Oryctolagus cuniculus: one gene and its partners. The protein of the gene in region 1 interacts with the protein of each later gene in a pairwise test. Links are inferred from orthologs where the notes say so. Each region holds a gene or a part of one and is shown on either strand. Other genes may lie near its edges.

What was found.
Region 2: the proteins of CTBP1 (region 1) and PRKAA1 interact in binary tests that used the Homo sapiens proteins (3 or more experiments, as listed by UniProt). The two-hybrid records come from large-scale screens. The link is inferred for Oryctolagus cuniculus from reciprocal best matches to the Homo sapiens genes CTBP1 and PRKAA1.
Region 3: the proteins of CTBP1 (region 1) and CRY2 interact in binary tests that used the Homo sapiens proteins (3 or more experiments, as listed by UniProt). The two-hybrid records come from large-scale screens. The link is inferred for Oryctolagus cuniculus from reciprocal best matches to the Homo sapiens genes CTBP1 and CRY2.
Region 4: the proteins of CTBP1 (region 1) and NOL4L interact in binary tests that used the Homo sapiens proteins (3 or more experiments, as listed by UniProt). The link is inferred for Oryctolagus cuniculus from reciprocal best matches to the Homo sapiens genes CTBP1 and NOL4L.
Region 5: the proteins of CTBP1 (region 1) and KLF12 interact in binary tests that used the Homo sapiens proteins (3 or more experiments, as listed by UniProt). The link is inferred for Oryctolagus cuniculus from reciprocal best matches to the Homo sapiens genes CTBP1 and KLF12.
Region 6: the proteins of CTBP1 (region 1) and DMRTB1 interact in a two-hybrid assay, tested with the Homo sapiens proteins (4 studies listed by BioGRID). The link is inferred for Oryctolagus cuniculus from reciprocal best matches to the Homo sapiens genes CTBP1 and DMRTB1.
Region 7: the proteins of CTBP1 (region 1) and NOL4 interact in binary tests that used the Homo sapiens proteins (3 or more experiments, as listed by UniProt). The link is inferred for Oryctolagus cuniculus from reciprocal best matches to the Homo sapiens genes CTBP1 and NOL4.

The regions. Positions count from the first base shown.
Region 1 is NC_091433.1:418,961-423,091, forward strand, and holds the start of CTBP1 (C-terminal-binding protein 1), read right to left. Parts: upstream 2,801-4,131; 5' UTR 2,575-2,800; intron 1-2,574. UniProt on the Homo sapiens protein: Corepressor targeting diverse transcription regulators such as GLIS2 or BCL6. Has dehydrogenase activity. Involved in controlling the equilibrium between tubular and stacked structures in the Golgi complex.
Region 2 is NC_091445.1:66,055,818-66,060,067, reverse strand, and holds the start of PRKAA1 (5'-AMP-activated protein kinase catalytic subunit alpha-1), read left to right. Parts: upstream 1-1,450; 5' UTR 1,451-1,505; coding exon 1,506-1,605; intron 1,606-4,250. UniProt on the Homo sapiens protein: Catalytic subunit of AMP-activated protein kinase (AMPK), an energy sensor protein kinase that plays a key role in regulating cellular energy metabolism.
Region 3 is NC_091432.1:20,094,738-20,098,237, reverse strand, and holds part of CRY2 (cryptochrome-2), read left to right. Parts: intron 1-97; exon of another isoform or gene 98-140; intron 141-1,192; coding exon 1,193-1,333; intron 1,334-2,988; coding exon 2,989-3,300; intron 3,301-3,454; coding exon 3,455-3,500. UniProt on the Homo sapiens protein: Transcriptional repressor which forms a core component of the circadian clock.
Region 4 is NC_091442.1:25,330,439-25,333,938, forward strand, and holds part of NOL4L (nucleolar protein 4-like), read left to right. Parts: intron 1-1,568; coding exon 1,569-1,724; intron 1,725-3,500.
Region 5 is NC_091440.1:38,561,890-38,565,845, reverse strand, and holds the start of KLF12 (Krueppel-like factor 12), read right to left. Parts: upstream 2,801-3,956; 5' UTR 2,782-2,800; intron 1-2,781. UniProt on the Homo sapiens protein: Confers strong transcriptional repression to the AP-2-alpha gene. Binds to a regulatory element (A32) in the AP-2-alpha gene promoter.
Region 6 is NC_091438.1:119,539,930-119,544,153, reverse strand, and holds the start of DMRTB1 (doublesex- and mab-3-related transcription factor B1), read left to right. Parts: upstream 1-1,424; 5' UTR 1,425-1,718; coding exon 1,719-2,514; intron 2,515-4,224.
Region 7 is NC_091441.1:43,331,502-43,335,585, forward strand, and holds the start of NOL4 (nucleolar protein 4), read left to right. Parts: upstream 1-1,284; 5' UTR 1,285-1,461; coding exon 1,462-1,725; intron 1,726-2,446; exon of another isoform or gene 2,447-2,700; intron 2,701-2,794; exon of another isoform or gene 2,795-3,046; coding exon of another isoform or gene 3,047-3,058; intron 3,059-4,084.

The DNA of each region.
Region 1 (4,131 bases):
TGGCCTCGGGCCGTGCCATGCCACTCCCGAGGCAGTCGGCGCTGCGGGGACGGCGGGGCTGCGGGGGGAGCTCGTACTCGCAGGGACTTTAGGCCAAGCTGGCCCGGGGGGACGAGTCCACTCCCGCCCGCACAGCCTGGTCCCCGCAGCAGCAGCAACACGGATTCAGTGGTCAAACTGCCCCGGATGGACAGCGCCAGGGCAGCTCAGGGGTCCCACAGGCACAGGGACACGGGGTCCCGGCCGGCACCACGCTGGCGCAGGTCAGCCACCAGTGACCCCTGCCGCATCCCTGCCTGTGAGCTCCGAGACATCTCAGACCTGACGCCCACCACACCCTCCCCGCCTCACAGCAACTGGGGTTCACCGCAGCCCGATTAAGAACCCCCACGCCAGGTGAGGCTGCTGCCTGCAGTGCCGGCATCCCATATGGACGCCGGTTCAAGTCCCGGCTGCTCCACTTCCCATCCAGCTCCCTGCTGTGGCCTGGGAAAGCAGTGGAAGATGCCCAAGTGCTTGGGCCCCTGCGCTCATGTGGGAGACCCGGAGGAAGCTCCTGGCTCCAGATCCATGCAGCTCCGGCCATTGCGGCCAACTGGGGAGTGAACCAGCAGATGGAAGACCTCTCTCTCTCTGCCTCCCTCAACCTCTCTCTTCTGTAACTCCGCCTTTCAGATAAATAAATCTCAAAAAAAAGACAACCCCCACACCCTGAACACAAAGCCCAGTGCGGCCAGCCCCACTCCTGCCCCACAAGGGCACCCCCTGCTGCCCCTCACGGCTCTCTGGGGCCTGGCTCCCGCTCAACACACGGAAGAGCCTGCGACGGCCACCCCAGCGTCCACCAGGCCTGCACACAGTGTTGGCAGGGGACATGCAGCCACCCGCTGCCGGGTGGGAACTGAGCCCGTGGGCAGCAGGCACGAGGGGCCAGGGGGACCCACCCCAGGCAGAGGGTCCCACGGGAGGTGCAGATCTGCCACCATGGTCCACCCCCCAGGGAGCTATGGGCCCGCTCACCACACGCGTGTCCTGAAGGCCGCACAGGCTCCACTCTGGGGTGGAGGGCCTAGGGCAGCCCCTGCTTGCCCTCCTGGGGGACGAGTGGACCCCACAGGAAACCTGGCTCTGAGAACAGTGGGGCCCCTGTGGCATCCATACCACAGCCGGCAAGGGAGCAGCCAGGTGGCCCCCACCCCGCCCAGCACCCACACCAGGCACGTGCACGGGGCTCTGGCCGCCCCAGCCCAGCCCAGCAGCCAAGGGGGTCTGGTTTGCAGGAAGCCTGCACCGTGGGGTGCCCGCCGCGGGAGCCCTCACCCTCCCCACCGTGGACACCCTGCTTCCTGGCAGCCCACACGGAGGGGGCTGAGACCCCCAGGCCTGGCTGCACAAGAAGGCCGGAGCCGCGGGCACTCAGACCAAGGGGACAGGGGTTTTGGGGCAGGCACCACCTGCAGGCTCCTGGCCAGAGACCCAAGGGCAGGCGACAAACCCTCGGCACAGGACCCTGACGCCAGCCACGACATGCTGACCAGGCACCAAGACGCTGCCCAGACGGCCAAACCCCGGGCTACCAAGGTCCACCGTGCGGCCTCAGAGGCCGACAGGGCCAGCGGTGCCCCTACTGCCCGGGATGTGGCCAGAACCGGGGCTGAGCCCATGGGACAGTCCCAGTCCCGGGTGCCCCGAGGCAGGACACAGAACACTGGGAAGAGAGGCCCGGCCGGCACCTGCTGAGCGCGCTTGTGGGGTCAGGAGACGCTGGGGAGACCAAGCACCGTCCCCTCCCCGGCCCGGCAGAGCCAGCCCAGGCTGGGGGCAGCCGCCGGTGTGCAGGGCCGCAGAGGCAGGCGCAGCGCCCCACCCGCCCCCACCCCGCAGTCCCGGACTGGGCACACAGGCCAAGTGCAGGGCAGGGCAGGGAAGAGCGCGGGAACCGGAGCCCCGGCCGGGGGCCAGCAGCCCGGGGGACTCGAGCCCTCCGCTGTCCGCGCGCAGACCCAGAGTGGGGGCCTCGGGGCCGGAAAGGCCGGGTCGGCGGCGGGACGCGGCCACTGTGGCCGGGCCTGGCCCCCCGGGAGCCCCCTTTTGCCCTAACCGGGGTTGCTCATCACGAGGGCCAGAAGCGGGCCCCGCGACCCCGGCCGCAGCCCGCCCGCCGGGCCGGACACAAAGGTGGCGCCGCGAGGCCTCGGGCTCCCCGCCGCCCCGGGGAACGACCTGCGTGCTCACTTCCGGGCCTCGGGCCTCGGGCCCCAGGGCAGCCCGCTGGGCGCTCGCGGGGCCGGGGCCGCAGCGCCACGCCCAGGAGCCCGGGGCGGGGGCGGCCAGGGCTGCGGGGCCGCCCCGAGGCCCGCGGGCCCCTTTGTGTCACCTGCGCGGGCCAGGCCGCGCGGCGCACGCGCACGCGCACTCGCTCGCAGCAGCCCGCGCATGCGCGCGGCCCCCGCCCCCCGCCCGCCGGCGCGCACGCGCACTCGCACACAAAGCCGGCGCCCACGGGCGCGCGCCCGGCCCGCCCCGCGCGCGCGTCGCCGCCCCCGCCCCGGCCGGAAGCGCGCGCGGCCTTACCGAGAGGGAGGCCCTTGTTGAGCAAGTGCGAGCTGCCCATTGAAAAGCGCGGGCGGCCGCGGGCCCCGCGAGTCCCGCGCGCTCCGCCGCCGCGAGCCCGGCGCGTGGGGCGGCCTCGGCGCCGTCCGCTGCTCCGCCCGCCGCCTGCGCCGCCGCCGCCGTGCGAGCCGCGCCGCGAGCCGCGCTCCGACCGACCGAGCGGGCGGGGACACGCGGCGGCGCGCGCGGGCGGGGCCTGCGCGGTTGGTCTGCTGGTTGCCGGCGCAGCGCGCGGCGCGGGCGGGCGGCTCGGGCTCTCGGCGCGGCCCCGCCCGCCGTCCTCCGCGGGGTCGGGCCCCGCGGCGCGGGCGCTGCAGGTGCAGGTGCGGCGCCTGCCGGGGGCGCTCCGGGAAGCGGCCGGCGCGGCCCCGCGCTCCGAGCCCCGTGCGGGGGAGCAGGCGGGCAGGTGCGGCGGGCCAGGTGTGCGCCCGCCCGGCCGAGGCCTCCCCCGCGCCTGGCTCAGTCCGGTCCCGCACGCCCCAGGGCCCTTCGCGCGCGGTGCTGTCCGGCTCTTTTTCGGACGCCGTCTCACCCGGGCCCTGTGTGAGAGCCGCGCCAGGAGCCCCGCAGGGTGGGCGTCTCCGCCCGCGCCCGCCGCCCGGACCCCGGACCCCGGGGAGAACCGGGCCGGGAGGCCCAGCGGGCAGCTTGGAGCTCGGGCCCACCCCGTCCTCGGACAGCCCCGCAGAGCCGTTAGGCGGGCGCCCGGCAGGCGGGACTCAGGGCTTGGGTCCGGGTCGCCCGCTGGGGAGTGGCCCAGCCAAGGAAGATTCCCCCGTTCAGAGAAAGCACCGCAGCGCGGCGGATGTGAATACAAACGAACTAATTCCCGCGCGAACCCTCAGCCCTGGACTCCCGCACTCCCGCGGGGGAGGCCTTGCCCCTGGGGCTGGCCGCTTTCCGGAAGAGTGGGCAGTGGAGTCGGGGGCCGGGGAGGGACCCCACCAGAGTGGCCAGAGCCCAGGCCGGCAGCAGGGACCCCTGGCCTTCCACCAGGCGGGCCCAAGGAGGCAGAGGAGCGCGCGTGCAGCCCCCTCGGCCTGGGGGGCTCCCGGCTGCAGGCTCCGGGCTCCGGGGTCTGGGGTCTGGGGTCTCGGCAGCCAGGCACTCACACACCCCCCGGCTGCGTCCTGATGGAACTTTCCACAGCACAGCTCAGCCCGGCCCGACGGCTGGTGCCCAGGTAGAGGCCGCTGGGCCCTGCTGTCTGCTCCCGGGGCTGGCGAGAGCCCCGGCTGGGCGTGGGGCAGGGGCAGTGACCATGGGGGGGTGGGAAGTGGGTGCGGGGGGGCTGGGCAGTGACCACGGGGGGCCGGGTAGTGACCATGGGGGGCTGGGAAGTGGGTGCGGGGGGGGGCCTGGGCAGTAACCACGGGGGGCCGGGTAGTGACCATGGGGGGCTGGGAAGTGGGTGCGGGGGGGGGGGCCTGGGCAGTAACCACGGGGGGCCGGGTAGTGACCATGGGGGGCTGGGAAGTGGGTGCGGGGGGGGGGGGCCTGGGCAGTGACCATGGGGGG
Region 2 (4,250 bases), on another chromosome or scaffold:
TCCCTTGCAATAGGATCTTTCGAACAAAACAGTCCTTAATACGTGCTACTTTGGTTTCTTAACAAAAAGAGGAGACAATCAGGACAGTTGGGTAACTTTCAGCTCATAACACTATTATTTAATTTCTCAATGAATTGATATACTGTCAGTAGGGCTAGTTTCTACCAAGAGAGTGACAATTACACTGCTTACAGACTCTCTACCCCAGCTTCAAAAGTGAAGAAAGTGCAGAGGGAAGCAGCAAGAGACAGTCCTGGCCCAAGGTCAACAGGCTAAACTTGGTGATGGCCTTCTTGCTGGCAGCATCTAGAGGCAGCCTGCACATATATTTTGGGAGCCAGAGAGAAAGCAAGTGGGAGATGGGAGAGTTTTAGAGGTAATTTATTTTTGTTGGAAAGGAAAATGATGACATTTCTTAGTTTTATACTTTCTTATACTCTTTTCATGAAGAGTCCAACTTTTTACCCATTGACACTGGTCCAAATGCTATGACACGGCAAAACCGAGAGCATATAAACTTTTTTTCTTTCTTTTTTGGATGACACATTTGACTTTGCCTACTGTTGGAGGCATGTGATAATTCTCCGTGGAATTCAGTAACAAACTTACTGAAAAATTATATTACAAATAAGCACACTTTACTTTCTCTGTGACATAGTATGGTTTCATCTACACAGACAATAAAGTTTTATTCCTTGCACATACAATAAATGGTCGATGTAACTGTAAACGTTATCGTCAGTCCCGTGATAGTGTGCATTTTACTGATAATCTAAACATAGTAATTCCTGTACAGCGAAAGGGCAGGGTAGCATCGCTTTCTGCCTGATAAGCATACAACCCCACAGGTGCCCAGCCTCCCTCTTCCTTAAGGAAAGCATCCAGGAGAAAACACCGACAAGCCTGCTTGAACTGCCCAATGGTAACTTATGGCTCACAGCGAAGTAAGAGCGATGCAGGGGAAAGTCCGAGAGGCAAATGAACACTCCCTGTGGCACCTGGACCCCGTCTGGGAAGGAAAGGTGATAATCAGGGAGGAGCCCCCTGCCATGGTTCAGTTCACGCTGCACAAGTAAAAGAGCCACGATCTGCACCACCCCAGAGGGCTTCCCAGGGCCCATCGCCCCTCCCCGGAATCTCAAGGAGAACGGCGCCCCCGCCCCGCACAGAAGCGGTTATCAGTGGCGCCCACTGCCCGAGAAAGGGCGGAGGGGCTACCGCCCTCCTGGACTACCCGGGAAGCTGGGCGGGTGCCGAGCCCGAAAGGATGCGGGGCGACCAAGGGGACTGGGGGGCCCCTGCCAGCGACCGCAGCCCGCCCCGCCCGGGGGAGCGGCGGCTCCAGGTGGCCAGGCCCGGGCGGCGCGCGCGGGGCGGCGGCTCGGCCCCGCAGCTGCTCGCCCGCGTCCCCACCCCCTCGCCGCCCGCCCGCCCCCGGCGCGGCCCTGCCCGCCCCCTCCGCCCCCTCCCGCGGCGCCGTGCGCAGACTCAGTGTCTGGAGGAAGATGGCGACAGCCGAGAAGCAGAAACACGACGGGCGGGTGAAGATCGGCCACTACATCCTGGGGGACACGCTGGGGGTCGGCACCTTCGGCAAAGTGAAGGGTGAGGACCCCAGGGGAAGGGTTTGGCCCCGGCCCGGGAGCCGCGGGACTCCCGCGTTTCGCACCTCTTCCTCCTCCCGGTCCTCCCTGTCCCTAGATTCCCGGGCTCGGCAGACCCTCTCCGGGCTCTGTTCGGAGCCGTGCCCGAAGCTACCGAGCGAAGTGGGCGCTGCTCCCTTTGCGGGTGGGAGTAGGGTGGGGACCAGTCGCCATGGCGACGGCGCTGCGGTCGGTGCGAGGGAGGAGATGCCGAGGTGCGAACTTTCCCAGGTGGCGGCGTCCGGAGCTGCCCCGCGCGCTAGGTCTGCAGCGTGGGGTCCCGGGGGTCTCGGCCAGGAGGCGGGGGAGGCGGCCTCCTGTCCGGCTGGTTGTGCTCTTGGCTCCACGCCAGCCCATCGCTTTCCTGGCGGTCCTCCGCCTTGTCCGTATTTCCGTCTTCAGCAGGCTAGGGAAAGCATAACGGCCCCTGCTGTTTCCTGAGCATGAGAGATGTTCTCCCAGTTGAGGTTGCTTTGAGTATAGCCTGAATAATTTTTTTTTTAAATCCATTTCGTCCGAAAAGATGACTGACCTTGTGTAAAGCAGTTAAGGGGAGCTGGTGCGACCCTTGGTTTACCTTACAAATGCAGACTCCCGACCTTCAGTGTTTCTGAATTACCGGTTTTGCAGTATCTGCATGCTGAACCTGGTAGGCTACTGTAGATGTTGCCTCTAGATAATATTTATTAATTAGTAGAGTTCGTTTCCTTTTATTTTGGGAAGATATTTATTTTTAATGTTTAGAAATTGATTTTTATTTACTTGGAAGACAGAGACAGACACATAGGTCTTCCATCTGGTGGTTCACGCTGCAAATACCCAAAATAGCTGAGGCTGGGGCCGGGCCAGGCAGAAGACAGGAGCTGGGAACTCAAGCAGGGTTTCCCTCTTGTGTGGCAAGGACCCAAATACCTGGGCCATCAGTTGCTGCCTCCCAGGGTGCACATGCACAGGAAACTGGAGTTGGAATTGGAACAAGAGACAAACCTAGAGACCTGGTGAGATGCAGGTGTTCTAAGTAGTGTCTTAACAAAACCCTGTCCACAATATATTTACATTTAATAAACAGATTAGTGCACACTGTTTAAACTTTTTTGTTAAGTGTGGAACTTAGTATCTCTCTCTTTTAAAGATTTATTTATTTATTTCAAAGAGTTACAGAGAGAGGTCTTTCATTCCCTGGTTAACTCCCCAATTGGCTGCAACGACCCGGGCTGTGCTGATCTGAAGCCAGGAGGCAGGAGCTTCTTCTGGGTCTCCCATGTGGGTGCAGAGGCCCAAGCACTTGGGCCATCTTGGACTGCTTTCCCAGGCCACAGCAGAGAGCTGCATTGGAAGTGGAGCAGCCGGGTCTCAAACCGGCACCCATGTGGGATGCTGGTGCTGCAGGCCAGAGTGTTAACCCCGCTGTGCCACAGTGCCAGCCCTGGAACTTCTTACCTTTATGAAAAGCATGAATATTCTGCAAGTAATAAACTTGCTCTCTAATCCAATCCTGATATAAAAAGTTTAAATTGCAAATTTTGTGAGGCATACATTCTTTTTCCTTACAAATATGACTTTGTTATTAGGGATGTGGAGGAAGTTTGGAACTGATAAGAATAATTATTGCATTGGCATTGGATAAATAAGAAGCCTTTGACTAGTATATACTAAGTTTTTGGTAAATATTTGATCTGGAAGAAAAGGTTTATGAAAGAGTATACAGTAAATTAACTGAGCCTTGTTCTGCCAGAGCTAAGTTAACATCCTCCCGGCCCCCCCTCCCCAATTTATTTATTTTCATTTTTTGAAAGTGAAAGATCTTGATCATCCATCCAATGATTCACTCCCTGAATGGCTACGACAGCCATGTCTGGGCCAAGCTGAAGCCAGGTGCCATAACTTAGTCTTTGTCTTCCATGTGAATAGCAGGGACCTGATATTTAGATCCATTACATGCTGCTTCCCAGGGTGTGCATTAGCCTGAGCTGGAATTGGAAAGGCAGCTGGGACTCAAACCAAGGCACTTGACATGGATGTGGGGCATCCCAAATAACGTCTTAGCTGATGAGCCAAGTGCGTGCCTCTGTTGCCGATTCTGAGCCATAGGTGTGGAATATTGTTGTATAACCCATGGGGATGGGCATTAACCAACAAGGTCAGTAGTATAATAAAGTAAGGAGCAAACTCCAATATGGAGTAGTAACAGCCATTAAGGTGGGTCTACATTAGGACAGTAACATGTTTCTGTTTTCTTGAAGTTTGTTTTTTTTTTTTTTCTGTGCTGTTTCTTGTTAGTGATTATAAACAGGTTTTTAGTTTGCCAGTAGTTGTAAGAAATGCTCAGTAATGTCTCTGAAATAGTGAAAGAGACTTTGTTGATGTCCTCACCCCTTTCTCAAAATTCTTTTTTGATTGGGATGTTCATCATTCTGCTAAAAAAGACCTGAACAGAGTCAAGTCTGTTTTCCTATTTGTTAATTGGCTTTTGGCACAGTAGATGGAGAAGGAATAGACATCTTCTGTTTTCTGGAGTTGATCTTTTGTGATGTGGCTGTGATGTGAATCTCTTCAGTGACTCTGCTGTTCCTTAAACTTCTCCCTGCAAATGTGCCTCTCATGAAG
Region 3 (3,500 bases), on another chromosome or scaffold:
GCCCACGACAGAGCCCTGGGCTGCCGGCACTGAAGAGAGAGATGGAGGGGGAGGGGCTCAGGGAAGACTAAGAGCAGCCCATGAGCTGTGAGGTCACCAAGGCCCAGGGAATCCCCGGAGGAGAGACAGGAGCCGGCCATGGTGCTGTGCTGCTGGGAGAACAGGATGCGTGTGGGGTACGTGGCGTGGAAGATGGGAGGGACAGCGTGGCCGAGTGGAGAAGCCAGGAGCCAGCAGGTGGGCTGGAACGTGGAGGCGGGGGTGAGGGAAGTAGAGAGAGGTGGGTTTTGAAGGAGCACAGTGGGCCCAGGTGGGGAGGCCCAGCCGCACTGCTGTGTCCTTTGCTTTGTATATTTGAGCGAGAAGAGTGTTCTTGGAGTGGAAACTGGAGAGAGAGAGAGAGGAGAGAGGGAGGTTGAACAGACAAGGGGAGAGAGGGGAGGACTCCGAGCCAGGTCATGGGAGGGGAGGAGAAGGGTGGGCGTGGATGCAGGTGGGGGTTCAGTGACTGCAGGTGGCTACCTGGTGGCTCGTGTTGCCTTCTCGTCTGCTGAGGGGTGGAGCTGGGAAGTGTGCAGTGGAGGCCTGGGCGGGGCAAGCAGTCTGTCACCGGGTGCCAGGAACCGAAGGATGGGCGTAGGGGTTGCGCAGGAGGACACTTGCACAGGTAGCAGGGAGAGCCTGGTCAGGACTCGGAAGCCCGCCCTCCCCGGCCCCCAGGTGAGTCGCAGAACCTTTGAGCCTCGGTGCTCGTTTTCCAAAGGAGGCAACGACAAGGCTCCCTCGCGGGGCCGTGCAGATCTGACGGAGAGTGCGTGACGGCAGCCGCGGCCTCGGGCGGCGTGGGGCAGGGCAGTCTCAGGAGGCCCTGGTGACCAGAGACGGGCCTTGTTTCTGTAGAGGAGAAGCCTTTCCTTTCCTCTGATGGTTGGAGTCCACTCAGTCTTTTTCCAGTTCTTGGCTGTCTCATTTCGCTTCATCTCAGGGGAGGGGAAATGCTGTTATTTAATAGAGAAACAGCTGAGGGACAAAGTTTACACTCATCCGCAGCTTCACTGGCGAAGTCAGGGCCAGAACGCAGATCCACAGCTTCCGAGGAGTGGCGTGAGCACGGCGTGCAAGCCCTGGCCCCGTGGCTCTCCGTTCCTCCGTAGCACCCAGCTCTTTGCTTTGTCACCTTCCCCTTCCACAGGCGTGGGTTGCCAACTATGAGAGACCCCGGATGAACGCCAACTCCCTGCTGGCCAGCCCCACCGGCCTCAGCCCCTACCTGCGCTTCGGTTGCCTGTCCTGCCGCCTCTTCTACTACCGCCTGTGGGACCTGTATAAGAAGGTGAGAGCAGTGCGGCCTGTGTGCCTTCCCCGCTTGCAGCCAAGTGGCCCTGGGCCTCCTGCGTTTGCCAGTCACCCTGGAAAAGGTCCCCATCCTGTCCCTGGAGGTGGGGGCCTGTGTCATACATCCCATAGTCCAGAGTGGGTGGGGAAGGGTCAGTGCGCAAGGGCTGGCAGAGCCACGCGCCCAGTGAATCACTGATCTGCATCCATCCCCTGTGGTCCTGTGGGGCAGAGGAGGCCGCGGGGGGCCCAGAGGTAGCAGGTCCACTGGCTGGGGGTGGATGTGCACCAGAGCCCCAGCGCGGGACGATGGGCAGGTGAGGCTGGAGCCAGTCCTGCACTGAGCACAGCTGCCCTCTGGGGCTGCCCCCAGAGCACTGAAGGGACTGTCCAGGGGCTGCACCTGCCCATGAGCGCTGGGAGAAAGGCTCGAGGCAGGGGGAGAGAGTTCATGGGGGCCCGGCCATGGGGACCAGCAGCCCACAGGCATCCCTGGAAGGAGAAGGGACAGGTATCCAGTCCCCAGTCAGCGGCTCTTCCTTGGGGCTGCGTTTCTGACGTTTCCCTGTCCTTGCCAAGGTCATGAATTCAGGCCACTGGTAGCTTGGCAACTGGGGGGGGGGGGTAATCTTACGGTTTTAGGAAAATCATTATTTGCTTAGAGATCTGATCCCTTTTGTAAACAAATTATTATTTTATTATCGATTGATAGATTTGAGAGTCACAGGCAGACACAGAGCCCCCATCCCCTGGTTCACTCCCCAGAAGACCACAACGGCTGAGGCCGGGCCGGGCCAGAGCCCAGAGCCAGGAACTCAGTCCAGGTCTCCCAGGTTGGGGGGCAGGGACCCAACCCCTGGAGCCGCCACCTGCCACCCACTGGGGCGTGCGTTAGCGAGAAGCCGCGGTTGGGAGTGGAGCTGGGACTTGAACCCTGGCACTAATATGGAAGGCAGCCATCGCAAGTGGCATCTTACCTGCTGCACCTCTCGTTCCTGGAACTCCTGGAGGCTGGTCTCTTAACTCCTCCATGGACCCAGCCTGCGTGTGCAGCCTGTTTACCCCATGTCTGGACCGAGCATTTTATGCACTCTGATCAGAGAACTCCCCTTGACTATCTAGAAAGTGCAGCCAACCACCGTGGCCAGTCTTGGCAGGCTTGATTCCTGCCCACCCTGCCTGGCTTTCTGCAACCACTCTGGTTTTTTTGTTTTTTTTTTTTTAAATATCATTTTTTAGACTTACTAACTTCTCCCTGTAATGATTCCCCTTACATTCCCTACACATCTTTTTTAAAAGTTTTTTTCTTTTTTAAAATGATTTTATTTGAAAGGCAGAGCGAGAGAGAGAGAGGGAGACACGGAGATCTGCCATCCACTGGTTCACTCCCTAAATGGCTGCAGCAGGCCAGAGCCGGGAGCCGGGAGCCAGGAGCTCGTCCAAGTCTCCCGTGTGGATGGCAGGGGCCCAAGCACTCAGGCCATCTGCTGCTGCCTGCCAGGGCCGGGGCTGAGTCTGCAGGTGCGCTGCGCCGTTTCTTCCAGAGGACAGGCCCTCCGCCTGTCTAGGAGGTTTGGAGTCTGTAGGGACCTGAGCGGCCTGGCGCAGCGAGCCGGGCAAGCGTTCACGTGTCCGTGCCGCCCCCGCCCTCAGGTGAAGCGGAACAGCACCCCTCCCCTGTCCCTGTTTGGGCAACTCCTGTGGCGTGAGTTCTTCTACACGGCAGCCACCAACAACCCCAGGTTCGACCGCATGGAGGGGAACCCCATCTGCATCCAGATCCCCTGGGACCGCAACCCCGAGGCCCTGGCCAAGTGGGCTGAGGGCAAGACGGGCTTCCCCTGGATCGACGCCATCATGACCCAGCTCAGGCAGGAGGGCTGGATCCACCACCTGGCGCGGCACGCCGTGGCCTGCTTCCTCACGCGCGGCGACCTGTGGGTCAGCTGGGAGAGCGGGGTCCGGGTGAGTGCCCGCTCCCTCTGCCGAGCCCAGCTGTGGGCTGCCCTCTCCGGGCGGGGGGATGGCGTGGGAGCCTTCCGTGGCTGGCCCTGGGCCCCTGGGGGAGAACCGTGGCCGCGGATCCCCGAGGAGTCTGCTCGTCCCCGCCCCCGCCCAGGTGTTCGACGAGCTGCTTCTGGACGCCGACTTCAGCGTGAACGCGG
Region 4 (3,500 bases), on another chromosome or scaffold:
GCCTGGGGGAACATGGCAAACTGCAAAGCACTTTTTACATTTTTTATATGTTTACATGTCATCTACTTGAAAGAGCAAGAGAGAGTCGGGTGGGAGGATCCTCCATCCACTGGTTCACTCCCCAAATGCCCACAACAGCCAGGAGCCCAGAACTCAACCCAGCTCACCCACATGGGAGGCTGGGGCGCCAGATGTGCATTGACAGGCAGCTGGATTAGAAGTGGAGCAGCTGGGACTTGAACCGGCACTCTGATGTGGAACGCGGGTGTCCCAAGCAGCCATTTAACCCAACCGCGCCACGCCGTCCGGCCTCAGAGCACTTCTGCCTGATAGCAACAGCCAGGCGGTCCCCGCGCCAAGCTGGGTGCAAGAGCTGCAGGAGAAATCATCGCTTCACTGATAGGAAAGGTGCTTCTGGAATTCCCAGTTTATGGATGAGGATCCTGAGGCCCCGAGAAGCAAAACAACTGCCCTGGGTCCCACAGCCACCCGAGCGCGAGCGCGGTGCTCAGGGGCTGCACCCGTAGCCAGTCGCCGGCCGGCGGTCACTTCCTGAGCGGCGTTCTCAGTGCCAGAGGGACAGCTGTGAGCCCAGGCTCGGCCCAGAAGCCAACGGTCTTGTGTGAGGGTCCCCGTGAGGAGGAGTGGTCTTGGAGGCACTTTTAGAGAAAAGCCTGCCTCGTTTTCCCCAAATCCCCGGTGCACTGCTTTCTGCTGATCTCGGACACCCCCTGGGGCCCTCCCGGTCCCTCCTGAGGGCAGTGATGGCCGAGGTGTCCTGGGTCCGAGAATCAGATCCCTGACTCATTTCCTGAGGACGCCGGCCTCGTCCCAGCCTCACGCCCGCCCGCTGCCTCTGCCCCACCCTCCCTCCTCTGCCGGTGGGGGAGGGCAGGTGCCAGCCCTGCAGCTGTTAGCGACAGAGGACCCCGTCTCGATCCTGGCACACCTCACAGGCCACCTCCACGTGACCTCCGGCCTGCCATCCCGCACATGTCCCCACACAAAGAGCCCGGGCGCTGGCGCTGCGCTCAGCTGCCAGGGTGGGGAGGGCGGGCGGTGGTGAAAAGCTTGCTAGAAAGGCCAGGGGCGGAGGCAGGAGTCACCCAGGTGATGGGAGCCGGTCCCCAGGGACCCCGGCCCAGGCCCACAGTGAAAGGTTACTGCTAATTGGCAGGCTCGTGACGGGGCCGCATCTACTTAGCACTCCCCTCCCCAGAGACGTCCGGGACGGGCTTGGCACAGCGTGTGATTTGAGAGCCCCCGCCCGCCCAAGTCTGGCACAATCTGTCTGAAATCGTGAACATGGAGCCTCTTGGCTCTTTAATTTGTATTTGTGTCGTCGCCGTTCTCTGCCCATTGTTGCTGGTACATTTCGTAGCAGCCACCCTGATTCTGGGACCCCACCCCACCCCGCCCCCACCCCCACCCTGGGAGGAGGCGACAGGGGGTCAGGGAGCAGCGCCCATCCCTGCCCCCCCTGACCTCGGGGCCTCGGCCCCCCCACTCCCACCCCGCTCACCCCACCGTGAGCCCTGACACTAACACAGCTTGTCCCCCTGTCGCAGGGGGCAGATGGCCTGTCGGAGCCCGAGGGCATCTCTCTGAAGCGGGTCGCTGTGGTGGAAGATTTCTTTGACATCATCTACTCTATGCATGTGGAGAGCTCAGCTGAGCCAGGCAAAGCCCCCAAGCACGCCGGGCAGAAGAAAACCTACCGAGCGGTGAGCGCCTCCCGTCTCCGCCTCTGCACGTGGTCCCGGCCTTGGCAGGAGGCCGCGGGCTCTGCACTTGGCGGGTGGGTGGGTGGGTGGGGGCTTGAGGAAGCAGCCTTCAGGGATCCCAGAGCAGAGCATGGGGCAAGGACACGGGCAGCTGGAGGCCGCTCCTGGGCCAGGGCGGGCTCTGTGGGCTGAGCAGAGAGAAGAGGAGAAGGTTGAGGGCGTGAGAGGAGGGGAGAAGATGGGGGCTGGTGGGCCGGCTCTGCTCGCTCCTCTTCCTGGGGGCCCTTACACCTGCCTGGGGGGAGGGGTGCAATGCAGGCAGGAGACCCATAGTCAATCATCAACAGCAAATGGCTTGGTATTTGCCAGCACCAGGCCTGTCCTAACTGCTCCTGGCGGCTAGCTCAGCCCTGTGACGTCAGCACTAGGAGTTCCCTGGGGGAGGGGGGAAGTCTGGGGACCTCCCCCACACCCCACGAGGAGATCACAGAGGGATGTGGGCTGGGGAGGCTGAGAGCAAAAGCGAGATGCAGGAGAAGCAGAAGTGTTCCCAAGGCCAGCTTCCAGAGAGAGCAGGAGCCTGGCTGCCCAGGCGCTCTGCAAAGGCACCTCCAGCCACGGAGACACAGTGCTAAGCCCCGCGGGCTCCATGGAGGAGGTGGCATGGAAGCTGAGCGTGGGTAGGCAGGAGGGAGCAGAGACAGCCACTCAGGCATGGCAAATGTCACAGATGTGGGAAGTGGCAGTTGTGGGGACTGTGGCCAGAGCAGAGGCCCCCGCTGTCCCCTGCAGGAAGGGCCTGCTGTGTTCCCATCCTGTCCCCCTGTTGACCCCATGTCTGAGTCCCTCACCAGGGCTCGGGCACAGCTCTGAGCCATTGGTCCGGTTCCTACCGCTCAGCCGGCCAGGCCAAGCTCTTGGTGTTGATGGTCCTGGTTCACACTCGGGGAAACTGAGACCCAGAGAAGGAGCAGCCTGTCTGAGAACACGCAGCAGCTGGGTGGCAGCCAGCCAGTGTCGCAGGGCCCCCTCCATGCCGCTGGGAGCCCCCCCCCCCATCGAGTGCTTTGTCTAAGCAGCTTCAGCCCGCGGCAGCGGTGTCGGTGTGGTCTGTACTTCCCCCACATGGCCTGATGTTTTAAGAACCCAGCGGCCTGACTGTCCCCTGTTCTCGGAAGATAGCCTTGGCCCTCATCGGGTCTTCAGGATGCACCCCGCCCCCCATTGTGCCCCAGGCCTCAGGGAGGCAGGGAACTGGGCCACGGGAGCATGGGGGTGATTCCACACGCACCCCCTGCTTTGCCACATGTGTCCCTCAGGAAGCGACCTGTGGGGAGGGAGTTGTGAGGGCTTTTACACCCCAGGGTCCGAGAAGAAGGGAGGGGTACCCAGGCTGGGGCCCATGGAGGCCCCTTGGTGTTGAGGAGACCCCTGCACGTTTTCTCAGCATTAACCTTGGCATTGATCTGGGCACCTAGCACACGCCGGCCTCTGCCCTCGGCACTGCCCACGCACCAGCTCCATGCGCCCCAAGGTTTCGTGTGTGAGGCCAGCACTGTTGCCACGGCCATTGTAAGCTGAGAGATGGGAAACCTGCCAGGGTCACACGCAGCCAGGCCACAGCCCCAGGCTCTGCCTCGCTCCACCCCGGCGACTTGGTGTTGTCCAGGCAGGTGGTCTCCCTGGCCCCCTTAGCGCCCAGCATGGGGCCTCAGCCACGAGCACGCCCTAGGGCTTGGGGTCTCCGTGCGCCGAGGAGGGCAGGGCTGGGCTGCT
Region 5 (3,956 bases), on another chromosome or scaffold:
CAAGATTATGTGTTTTTTTTTAACATGCATTTTTCACACAAGATGTTCAGTCAACTGTTAAAGTATACAAACCACAATGTAGTACATTCTGGATCAATCCATGAGTGTGCTTTACCTAAGGCAGAATGTGGAATCCCAGTGTAGCTCCATCCAGTTACATGGTCCGTTACGGCTCCTCTTTCCACTCCATCAATTTACATGTTTTTGAAAAATGAACATTACTTTTTAAAAACTGGGTAAGTGAGTGTCAATTAGAAAAGAAAAGCTGTGTCTTTCAACACATAAACTGCGTTTGCACTTGTAGTTCGTGTCCAGTGTTGGCAAGGCAGCAGTATCAGAGCTGGTGACTGACACCTGGAAAGACGGGCAGTGCTTCTGGGTTTCCTCACTCCACTGTAGGATTTTTGGCAGGTTGCTCAGTTGTTCTTGTTCAGTTTTCCTCCTCCTACAACTGGGCACTTTCTTCACAATGAAGTGGAGAACTAATGAGATCTTGTTTAGGAGGACTGACAAGAATTCTGTGTGACCACTTATCAGCTATCCCACCAGTGCCAAACTCAGCACCTAACTTAGCACCCAACTCACAAGTAATCAAACTTTTCGATGGAAGAATGAGAATTCCAAAGTACCTGACATATTGTGAATATCCTATAAGGATGGATTTTCCTCTTGTTTTAGCTAAAATTGCTAATTTCTTTGATACAGATAATTTACTGTTTACTATTTGTTTACTATTAAAAATATAGTTACCTACCGGTATGACAAAGCTATTTATCAAGAAAAATAACCCAAAGGAATTATTCAAAGTTTCTATAGTTTAATTCAATAAATCATTTGAACTTAGTTGATTCAATTCATAAAAAAAGATTAATATTTTACTAAATTTAGCATGCATCTTTTTTAAACTGATGTATCTGCTGAGATATGATTCAAACAAAGGAAAATTATCTCTATGATGTTAAACAGTTTTGTATTTAAAATAGACTCTGAAAAAACCCTTTCTTTCCTCTCTCTTTCCCTCCTTCTCTTCTTATCATTCATTTCTTATTTTCTCCTGCCCTCTCCTCACATTCTTTTTTTTTAAGACAAAGATGAATCTAAATATGGAAAAAATTTATTCATGAAGACTTCTTCCAGCTCTTTATTTTTACCTAGTTCACAAGTTTGTTTTCTGAACCTTTTATATAGAATTCAAATGGAATTCCATCCTCACTTCAACAACAACAACAACAAAATGGCCATGGCAAATAAAATCACTATAAAGCAAGCAACAATCTTCCTTAAAACAACCCTTAATGTCACTACCTCTTTTTAAAAAATAACATATATTAGCAATTTCCTATGTCCTACACATTATTCAAAGCATTTTACATATAATAATTCCTGTAATGGTGGCAGGAAGCACTACTATCATTTTCTCTTTCTCAAGGTGAGACTTGCTAAACTCTTACAAGTTGCAAATTCCACAAGCATCCCTAGTCCTCTCTCTCTCTCTTCCTCTCTGTCACACTTATCACCATTTAATCTACTACTGTATGTTATTTGTTACTGTTGCATATAGTGTATCCTGCCCTCTGCAGCCACCTCCCCTTGCAGGAGCTCTTGCAAGGGCAGAGGATTTTTCTATCAAGTTCAAGGCTGCAGACCATTTGTGTGGCAAATGTGCATAGCATGCACTAGGCATCCAAAAAGTATTTGTGAGTAAACAAATTCCCATTGCACAGATGAGAAAGCTGAGATATCTGGTGCTTCCATATCATTTTGTCCTCAAGGCTATAATTATAAAGCATTTGTCAACTTGCCAATCATTGTTTGGATATATAAACCATTCCATGTGCTGCTTGTTTGTGAAAGACCTTGATAACCTTCATTGGGCTATCCAATGACTGTTGGTCTCAGGAACTCATTACCACAAGATCATGATAAGAATGAAAGTTTTGGGGCCAGTGCTGTGGCACAGCGGGTTAATGCCCTGGCCTGTAGCACCGGCATCCCATATGGGCTCCAGTTCAAGACCCAGCTGCTCCACTTCCAATCCAGCTCTCTGCTATGGCCTGGGAAAGCAGTGGAAGATGGCCCAAGTCATTGGGCCCCTCCACCCATGTGGGAGACCCAGAAGAAGCTCTTGGCTCCTGGCTTCGGATCTGCACAGCTCCGGCTGTTGTGGCCAATTGGGGAGTGAACCATCAGATGGAAGACCTCTCTCTTTCTCTCTCCCTCTCTCTCTCTCTCTCTCTCTGACTGTCTCTCCTCTCTCTGTGTAACTCTGACTTTCAAATAAATAAATCTTAAAAAAAAAAGAGAAGGAAAGTTTCTTCAAAAATGAGAATGGGGGCAGCAGGTATTTGATGCAGCCATCAAGCCATCAGTTGGTACACTGACATCCATCTGGAGCACCCAGCTTCAAGTCCTGGGTCCACTCCCAATTCCCGCCTTCTGCCAATGCAAACCCTGGAGAGAGATGGCGATGACGAAAGAAACTAGGAACCTGCAACCCACATGGAAGATCTGGATTGAAATTCTGGCCCCTGGCTTTGGCCTAACCCAGCCTGTGTGGCTGTAGGCATTTGGGGAGTAAACCAGCAGGTGGGAGCTCTGTCTGTCTCTTAAGAGAAAAAAAAGAGAATAAAAGCAGGACAAGAACAATTATGTGCATTAACTATCACTACTATATGTGCATTTTTGTATATTACAAATATATTACAAATAAATTATATATACAAATATATTACAAATAAATAAGCAACGGCATCATTTTCAGATTAACGTGCGGTATCATACCTTCCTGTTTTCTTTCACATCATTCACTCTGTATATGTTGTCCACAAGGCGTTAGGCAGTCTCAGCAACTAAGCAGAGTCAGACGGTAGAATGTGCAGCTCAACTCTGTATTTTAATTCATTGAGAGAGAAAAATTAGATGGACACGTAATATTTTCATCCTCTCATTATGCCTGCAGCTTCCATGCCTAAGCTGCAAGATGATAGGCCCTATAGAAAGGGTAAATAAACAGAAGAGAGGAAAGCATTTCAGTGACTTCAGAGCTGTTGTATTAAGACTGTCTTGTTGACAATTTTAAACTCCACAAATCCTCATCAATTATTAATTATTTTTCTCATTGAATTAAACAGGTGGATGGTATTTTCTCAGGAGAAAATATCAGGTGAAATGTAAGGCTTAGTGTTGACACATACGAATGGTTCATATGAATGAAATCCTATAGCTTTACTATGCGTCCCAATCTATCTCCCACAGTACACAGAAAGTATACAATTCATTTATTACAGAAAGAGAATAAGAATTTAAAGCACACTCTTTATTCCTTTGAAGCTAGAACCAGCTCTTTTCCTGTTGCAATAAACAAAACAAAGAAACTACTTCACAGTATTTAACCATTGTCTGTGAGCTCTGACACCCCTGGGTCTCTCCTGCTGGCTCCAGAGAGGTTGCAATGAAGAACACTACAGACAAAAGTCCGGGATGAGGATGTGGCCAGGGCATCCTATCATGAGAAATGCCATGCCATCTTTCACCATCTAACTTCTCAGTGGGCTGATTCTGTCAATATATCATTTACTCACTTATCAAAATTGCTCACTTAAAAAGTTGAGTTGAATGGTTCCTTATCCAATATGCCATTACCATGCCTCTTTGTTTCATCATGAGTTATGTTCATTGTTTATATGGCTTCTTGCCTGCTAGGACTGTTAGCCACATGCATGAATTCGCTGGGCAGCCGCTGAGACAAGAAACATATGGCTGGGTCTGCCGAGAAAATCTAGACACACACCATGCATAACTCTATCTTTTTGTGTGCGTGTATATTGACTTGTGTCCATTCATGCACATCTACTTGTGGGATCTGTGTCTCTTACAATCCAGTGCTAATAAAAATATTTATATAATTTCACCCCTGCAATACTTACAAATATCTTTTTATTTAATAACGTAAGCAA
Region 6 (4,224 bases), on another chromosome or scaffold:
ATGTAGGGGTGGGCCTTTGATCTAGTTGTTAAGATGTCTGCATCCCCCATGGAAGTATTTGGGTTCGAGTCCCAGTCCTGCTCCTGATTCCAGCTTCCACCTAACGTACACCCTGGGAGGCAGCAGGTGATCGCTTGAGTATCTGGATTCCTGCCACTCATGTGGGAGACCCAGAAAGAGTTCCTGGTTCCTGGCTGTGGCCTGGCTCAGCACCGCTATTTTTTTTAAGATGTATATATTTATTTGAAATGTAGACTTACAGAGAGAGAGAGAGAGAGAGAGAGAGAGAATCTTCCATCTGCTGGTTCACTCCCTAAATGGCTGCGATGACCAGGGGTGAGCCAGGTGGAAGCCAGGAGCCAGGAGCTTCCTCCAGGTCCTGCACGTGGTGCAGGAGCCCAAAGACTTGGGCCCTCCCAGGTATACTAGCAGGGAGCTGGACTGGAAGTGAAACAGCCTGGACTTGAACCAGAGCCCACATGGGATGCTGGTGCTGCAGCTATAGCCATAGCCCAACCTGCTGTACCACAGCGCCTGCCCTGTTATGGACATTTAAATGGGAGTGAACCAGTAGATGGGACCTCCGTCTGTCAGTCTGCCTCTCGGATGAATATAAATAATTTTAAAAAATATATAGTGTTAAGAGTGAAGCAGAGACAAAGGTAGCCCTCTTTAAATGAATGCAAAGCTAACGGCAGCATTCCTAAAGAATACAGGTGACATCTACTTTTGCCCTGTTATTAAGATGAAGAATATTCTTTTAAGCAGAAAAAGACTACAAACCTCCTCTCAGCTTTCTACCCTCTCACGGGTCTCAGAAAGGCAATGGTTTCCTATCCCCAGGCAGCTGGTGAGACGGCAGGGTGCACAGCTAGGCCGCACCTGCCATGCTAGCCAGGAAGAGCATCCTGAACAGAGAGAGGGCAGTAGCGGACACACACTTCAGCCAGCGGCTAACCTTCACTGCCTCCTTCAGTAGGGTCAGCCTACGATTAGAAGCCTGTCAGCGGTTAGCGGCCCATCCCACACCTCTTTTTTTTTTTTTTTCTTTGCCCAAATAAAAGGACCTCAGGGATTCACCAATTTCTATTAAAAAAGAGAGAGAAATCAAGAATACGTATTGATTTAGTGCCCCTGGGTAAACTATGAAGCCTGTGCCGACTTTTCCCAAGACCTGGATTGTTTCAGAGCGACAACCAAAGAGTTAAGCAATGCTTCAAGCCAGTGCCAAAATACCCTTGGTTTATTTTACTTGAAAACATTCTAAGCATGTTTGCCTCCCGAAGGCATCAGCAACAGAAAAGCACCATTTCCAGAAACGGATTCCTATCCCAACACTCTTCCCCAGCCGGAATGACTGGAAGGACACACCCTTCAGCAACCCCCACGCGGCACAGAGTGCCCGAGAATATTCTAGAAGCCTCCCCGTGAACGGCTGTTTCTCTACAAGGAGGAGACATGAGCTTCCGCAGAAGCAGCAGCCTCGGGAAGGAGAAAGGCGTTCTGCCTCTTAAAGTGCTTTTATACTGTCACGGGTTTACTAAGAGGCGATTTTCTAAAGTTTTAAATCTGTGGGCCGCTGGGTATCACTCCGCCTTTTTTTTTTAATCACGAAGTACCTCCCGTCTTGGGATGGCGGGAATATCGAGTTTGAAAAATTAAATGCCTGAGACTACGGATATTCCAGATGACATGCATGCAATAGCACTCCATGAAGAATGTATTTAACCCAATCCCTTGCACCTACTTACCAAAGGCACAGAAATCCCAACGTTTGCACTGCACCGAAAAAAAAAAGGGCGAGAGAATGCAAGGGTCTGGCGGCAGTTTTTGGGCGTTTCTCGGGACGCACTACGTGCCGGTTTGCTACAAGTGTATCCACTGTCCCCAGCACCAGGGACTTGTGGGGCGCAGTTCACTGCTGCGCCACTTGCTCCGCGGCTCCCCGAGGTGGCGGTTGCACGATGAAGGCAGACGCTGCTAAACTGGCCGACAAGATGCTGCGCGCCCCCAAGTGCTCCAGGTGCCGCAACCACGGCTTCCTGGTGCCCGTCAAGGGCCACGCGGGAAAGTGCGGCTGGAAGCAGTGCACCTGCGACAAGTGCTGCCTGATCACCGAGCGCCAGAAGATCATGGCCGCGCAGAAGGTGCTCAGGAAGCAGGCCTCGGAGGAGGAGCAGGAGCTGGCCCTGGGCCCTCAGGCGCCTGAGCTGGCCGCCGGGGCGGTGGCTGGGGCCGCGGCCGCCAGCCAGGGCCCAGGCCTCCACCTGCTGCCTCCGCCGGCGGCTTCGGGAGATCTCCGGCCGGAGCCCGAGGGCCGCGCGGCTGCCTACTTTTGCGAGAGGCCGCCGCGGGGCCCCAGCCCGGGCCCGAGCGCCTTCCAGCCTGTCCTGGGCGGCCGCGGCCACGTGGCGGCCCAGCTCGGGCTGGAGGCAGCAGGCCTGGGCGGCCCTGGCCACCTGGAGCTGTGCAGGCCGCTGCGGCCCCCGCCCAGCCCGCCGTTCGCGGATTTCGGTAAGATTCCCGCACCTCGCCCTGCCTTGGCGCCGCGTCCGCTCCTCTCCCGGCTGCGGGCTCCCTGCTCCCCGAGCTCGTGGCCCGAGACCCGAACCCACAGAACAGGCCGCTGGGGTAGGGGCTGGCGGGGCCTGGGGGCTCGAGGTGGGGAAGATGCTTGGCTCTGAGCAACCCTTCTCTGAACGAGGATTTGGGATGGGTGTTTTCTTAGAAAAAGCAAAAGAGAAAGGGAGATCGAAAGGACTTTTAATATTTAGGGAGTAGTTTTGGCCTTAAAAAAGATGGCTCCCGGGGCGTTTAGCGGTGGCTCCCCCTGGGGACTCCAGGGAGAGACCAGCCCTACTGCGCCTGCGCTGCTCTTCCGGCTCCTGTCTCACACGGGCGTCCTCTTCCTTCAAGACTTTCTGGCAGGTGGGCGTGGCTCAGCTATCACTGCGCCTGCGCACCCTTCCTTCCCTGGCCGGGAGACTAGAGGCCCAGCCCAGAGTACGCTCCCCGAACCCCAACTCGGTTCAACCCATGAGTGCCTGCGCACCCTTCCTTCCCTGGCGGGTGGTGGGGGGGAACTAGAGGCCCCGCCCAGAGTACTCTCCCCCCAACCCCACCCTTGTTCAATCTATCTGCGCATGCGCACCGCTTTCGGCCATTTTGTCTGGCTAAAGGCTCGTTCTCTAGAACTTTCCGGCCATACCGGGCCTGCGCACATGTCTCTCCCTTTACTCGGTCTGCACGCTCCTCCCCTGAGCTGTGCTCTGGCCCAGTGCACCTGTGCGCCTCTTCCCACCCTTTGCGTGAGAGTGGTTGCCCATGCACTGGCTTGGTCTCCAACAGGGAACGAGATGTTTTTCTCAGCTTTGTGCGTGAACTACATTGTTCTCTGTATCTTGCTGCTTTTGGTATACAGTTTCAAGTCGCCTGTGGACTTTTTAAACATATTTTTTTAAAAAACGGTTATTTGAAAGGCAGAGTTACAGAGAGGGAAAGGCAGAGACATGTAGACTTTACTTTTTTTAAATATTTGTTTATTTAAAAGGCAGAGAGGAGTCTTCCACCTGTTGGTTCACTGCCCAAATACTAGCTGCCAAAGCCAGGAGCCCAGAACTGGATTCTGGTCTCCTGTGTGGGTGGCGGGAAGCCTGGTTCTTGAGTCATCACTTGCTGCCTCCCAAGTGCGTTAGCAGGAAGCCCATGGACACCAGTCTGGGATGTGGGCTTCCTGAGTGGGACCTTTACCCACTGCAGCACCCTCACTTGTAGACTCAAGGCTTTTAAAAACCCAGCTCTTGGAGCGCACTCATTTTCTAGGTATTTTCTCTGTGTCAGTGTGGTAGAAAGGGCACAGAGCTGAGATCTGCCTGCCCTGTAGTCTTGCACAGGTTTCCCTGTCTTCACGCTAAGGGAATTGGTTTGCTCTCTGCAGTCACTTCTGCCTTCTGGGACTTTCCAAGGAAATCCAGGTCCCCAGGGAACTAGCTGTCCGATGGAAAAACAGACCTCCACAGCCATCCTAGTTGCTTACCTTCCCAGGGACGGGATGCCATTCTTGGTTTGCTCCCAGGGATCAGGCACTGAGCACTTGGCCCATGCTGGACGTCAGCAATGTGAAGGGGGGTGGGGGGTGTTGGGTGGAGCCCTCTGCTTGCCCGCAGGGCTCCTGTCTTGGTGGGAGGGACCACGGTGGTCAGATCCTGGTGGAGAGCTCTGCTG
Region 7 (4,084 bases), on another chromosome or scaffold:
TCGTCCGGCAGGCGACGACGAGTGGCGAAGGTGGCCTGGGACCCTGAGCCGGCGCCGGGCACCGCTCGGGCCGCCTTCCTGGCGCAGCGGCTTCCTGGGACGCGCGCGGGCCTCGGCCCAGAGTAGAATAAAGAGGAGCGGCCGCCGGCGCTGCGCGAGGAGGATGGGAACTCCTATTTCCAGCACCGTGGCACGCGGATGGAAATCCTGAATGGAGGAACCGCTGACTTCCTTTGCCTGGGAAAATCGTCCTGAGGAACTCGTATCTGGCGTCCCTGCGCGGCGGAGGGGGTGTCCGTGACGTGGCGGGAGGGGAAAAGCGACAACCGAAACCTCCCGGGTGAACTGCAAACTGTGACCAAGCAGCGGGGGAAACGACGCTTCTGTGTATTCTCATTTCCTGCCCAGGGTTCCAAGCATCTCTGTTATAAACTTACTTCTATGCCGGGCACCCCGGTGCCGCAGAAGCCTGAGGAGTGCTGGCCGGGGCCGGGTCGCCATCCCGGAGACCCGCGGCCGGCGGCCTGCCTTCGTACCCACGCCCTCCCGGAACCCGTATCTGTTTGGGGCACCGGCGCCGACCCTGGGAACTACCGGCCGAGCCCTCTATGAAGGCGCCGCTCCTTGCTGGGACCTAACTCCTAGAACCTAGATGCGGGGCTGCAATTTAGCCCCAGTGCACCTGAAGACGTGCTATTTTAACGCGTTTTTAAAATTATCTTGCTTTCCCTCCACCCCCTCGTCTTAAAAAAAAAATCCCGTAAAACGGAATTTTGATAGGCTTAAAGACATGACAGGTAAGAACTTTCTGTTTTTCTAGTTCCTTCCCTGCCGGTCACCCGGAAGGCCGAAGCGGAGCAAGGAGAGCCCAGGGACGCGTGTGCCCTGCGGGGCTTGCAGGCGCTCCGCCCGGCGGCTGCTTTCGGGAGCGGCGCAGCCCTCGCTCCCAGACCGGCGGCCGAGGAAGCTTCCCGGGCGCGCGCGGGGAGGCGGCGCTGCGCTCCCACCTGCCCTGCCCGGGACGCAGCCCGGGGTGAGGCGTCGAGGGAGCGCCCCGGGTCAATATTGAGATTTTTAATAAACCCAGGAATAGGATTTTAATTATTCAGAGCCCAGCTCCTCTGGGCCAAATGCTGTTGGGATGGTCCTGGACACACAATATTAAAGAGCCCCATCACCGAGAGGACGGGAAAAGCGTCCGAGCCCTCCGCTGCTCTTACGAATGAGCCAGACTGGCTAGCACAGGGCATTGATTGCCGGTGCCCAACTGGACCCTCCTCCCCGCTGCCCGTTCCTCCCCCCTACCCCACCCCCCCACCCCCAACCCGAGGCAGGCTCCCGCGGCGGCCGGGACCTCGCGTCCCCGCATCGTGGCCAGGGCTGCATCTTTCATGAGCCCGGGGTGAACAGGTGCGAAGTGCGCTGGGAGCATCCGGCCGGCGGCGGCCGAGCGCGGGGAACATGGAGAGCGAGCGCGACATGTACCGCCAGTTCCAGGACTGGTGCCTCAGGACTTACGGGGACTCAGGCAAGACCAAGACGGTGACCCGTAAGAAATACGAGCGGATCGTCCAGCTCCTCAACGGCTCCGAGTCGAGCTCCACGGACAACGCCAAATTTAAATTCTGGGTCAAATCGAAGGGCTTCCAGCTGGGCCAGCCGGACGAGGTCCGCGCGGGAGGCGGCGGAGCCAAGCAGGTGCTCTACGTGCCGGTCAAGACCACGGTGAGTGACTCGCCTGCCTCTGTTATTTGTCTGCCCGAGCAGCCCGGCGGGGCGGGAGGAGAGGGGGGAGCCGAGAGCCACCGTTGGCTCTTGTGCCCCCACCCTCCCCAACCCCCTCCTCAAGTCGTCCCCGCTCGCAGCAGCCAGGCGCGGTTTCCCCCCGCCGTGGCGTCTTTGTGGTCCTTTATTTTAAAGCGGCAGCGCGCACCTCCGCAGCCCCTCCGCCCTCCCCGCCTCCCCGGCTCGGGGACCAGCCGCCGAGCCTCCTAGCCCCGGCCGGGCGGCGTCCGGCAAGCGTCCAGCGTCTTCGGGCTGGGCCATTGTCCCACGTCCTTCGCTGGACGCCTGGCGCGTGTGCCACCGCCGCCACCGCGCGCATAAAAGGCCAGGCTGGAACCCTAGCCTCACGCTCTGATAACAGACGATGCTGATCGATAGGCGACAGTGTCTCCTTATTGGCACAAAGCCCGCGGGTGGCGGTCGCGGCGGACGAGGGGTTTCCCCCGCACGCTGTCGGGGTTTATTGTTAGCCGCCGCGCGTGAGACGCGGGGCAGCGCGAGCTCCTCGGAGGGTCCCGGAGATCGCGGTCACGACTGTTTAGATTGCAGATGAGGTCCTGGGGATGCGTCCTCCCCGCCTCCCTCCCTCCACAGCACTCCCCCCCCCCCCATTCCTTTCCTCACTTCGCGGTTCCACAAATAAAGCCGCAGCTAGATGATGAGCAACAAAGAGAGATGGGTTTGAGCGCGATCAGATGGGGTGTGTGTGTGTGTGCGCGCGTGTGTGTGTGTCCCTCTTTCTGGGGTGGCTCCAGTCTCATGGCCACAAAGCTCCAGCCTGGGCGCCACTGGAGGTGACTGGCCCTGGGAGCTGAGTCTGGCTCAACCTCACACGCAGATGCCTGTGGGGCTGGGGAGCCGCGGCAGCGTGGATTTGCAGATGAGCCGCCTAAGACCTTTCTGCATCGTGCCACGGTGGGTGCTCGCTTGGAGTAGGGGTGGGGGAGGCTTCTGGCATCCTTTGTATTTTTGCCTCGCGGTGCTGTGGTTTCCTGAGCATTTGCTCCTTACCCCCACCCCGCCCCTCCCTCACTGGCAACTGTTTCCTCGTGCAGGATTCCTGGAGGATGCTAGGAAGGAGAGGGCTTGGACGCCAGGCTGTGTCTGGCGGGGGTGCACATTCATTTAGAAATGGGTTGTTCAGAGCGGTATTTGGAGGACTCTTTGAGGTTTGGAAAGCAGCTGGTGGCTTCCTGAGATTAATTAAGAATATTGTTTGGAGCTTGTGTATTTCTTTGGAAATTCGTATGAAAAATGGAACATGGAAATAAAGGTAAAATGGAAACACTTGAAAGTTCTGTCGCTGTTTTAATGTTCTACTGTTGGAAGGTTTCTTGGAGGTAGATCTGTAGATATACTGTCTCTCAGAGCATATGGCACTGTTAAAGACAATGCTGAGATTACTGTCTTGCTTTACTAAATAATGAGGACTAGCCTGGCATGAATTAGAACTGAGGCTTATTTACATCTGGATGAGCCAGAGTCTGTTATAGAGAATGGAGTGTTTTTGATTCATTTGTATTGGCAGTTATGTAGAAAAATAATTCATTGTTAGAATAAATCAGAATTCAAAAGAAGAATGTATTTTTCTTTGGGCAGACCTAGCTAACGGAGTGAATAAAATAATTTAAGATATGTTTACAACTTTTAAAACTAATCTCTTATATGTCAAAAATAAACATATCTAGGAAGTTTGTTTTTCATTTCTTTTATGTTAAACTTAGGTTCCTTGGTGTAACTGTCAGATAGCTTCACACATATGTCTTGGTGCAATAAGCTTATACTTGTATAGTTTTGACTACTCCTATATTCACACATATGTCTGTATAAAAGATTAATTTTTAAAATTGTATATGATATAAATTCTGTGCTTTTTAAAAGCACTAAAATAATCCTGGGTTCCAATTATTTAAAACAGCATTCTCGTGCTGTGATACCCATATTTTCATTTAAAATTTAGTGCAGAGTTAAAGAATTACTGACAAGGCATCCTATGCAGAGACAACTCCAAGGGTGAAGAGAAAGTAAAATGTCTTTCTCTGTTCAGTAGAGTCCCTATATTTATGGGAGAAAGAATAATTCATCAGGTGATAATCTTAGATAATAGTTTCCGTGTAGTATTTAAGAGCTCTGCTCTTCTTTCAAGCCAGTGTTGAGCTGTTAAAGAGGTTTTTAATTCATGAACTCTTCCATTGCTCTTTATGGAATTTTTCTACTGCTCCTGACAGTGTTTCAGGCTCCTCCTCCTCTGAGAGACAGCCAATCATCATTTCAATGAGTTGAAAAATAAATAAAAGAT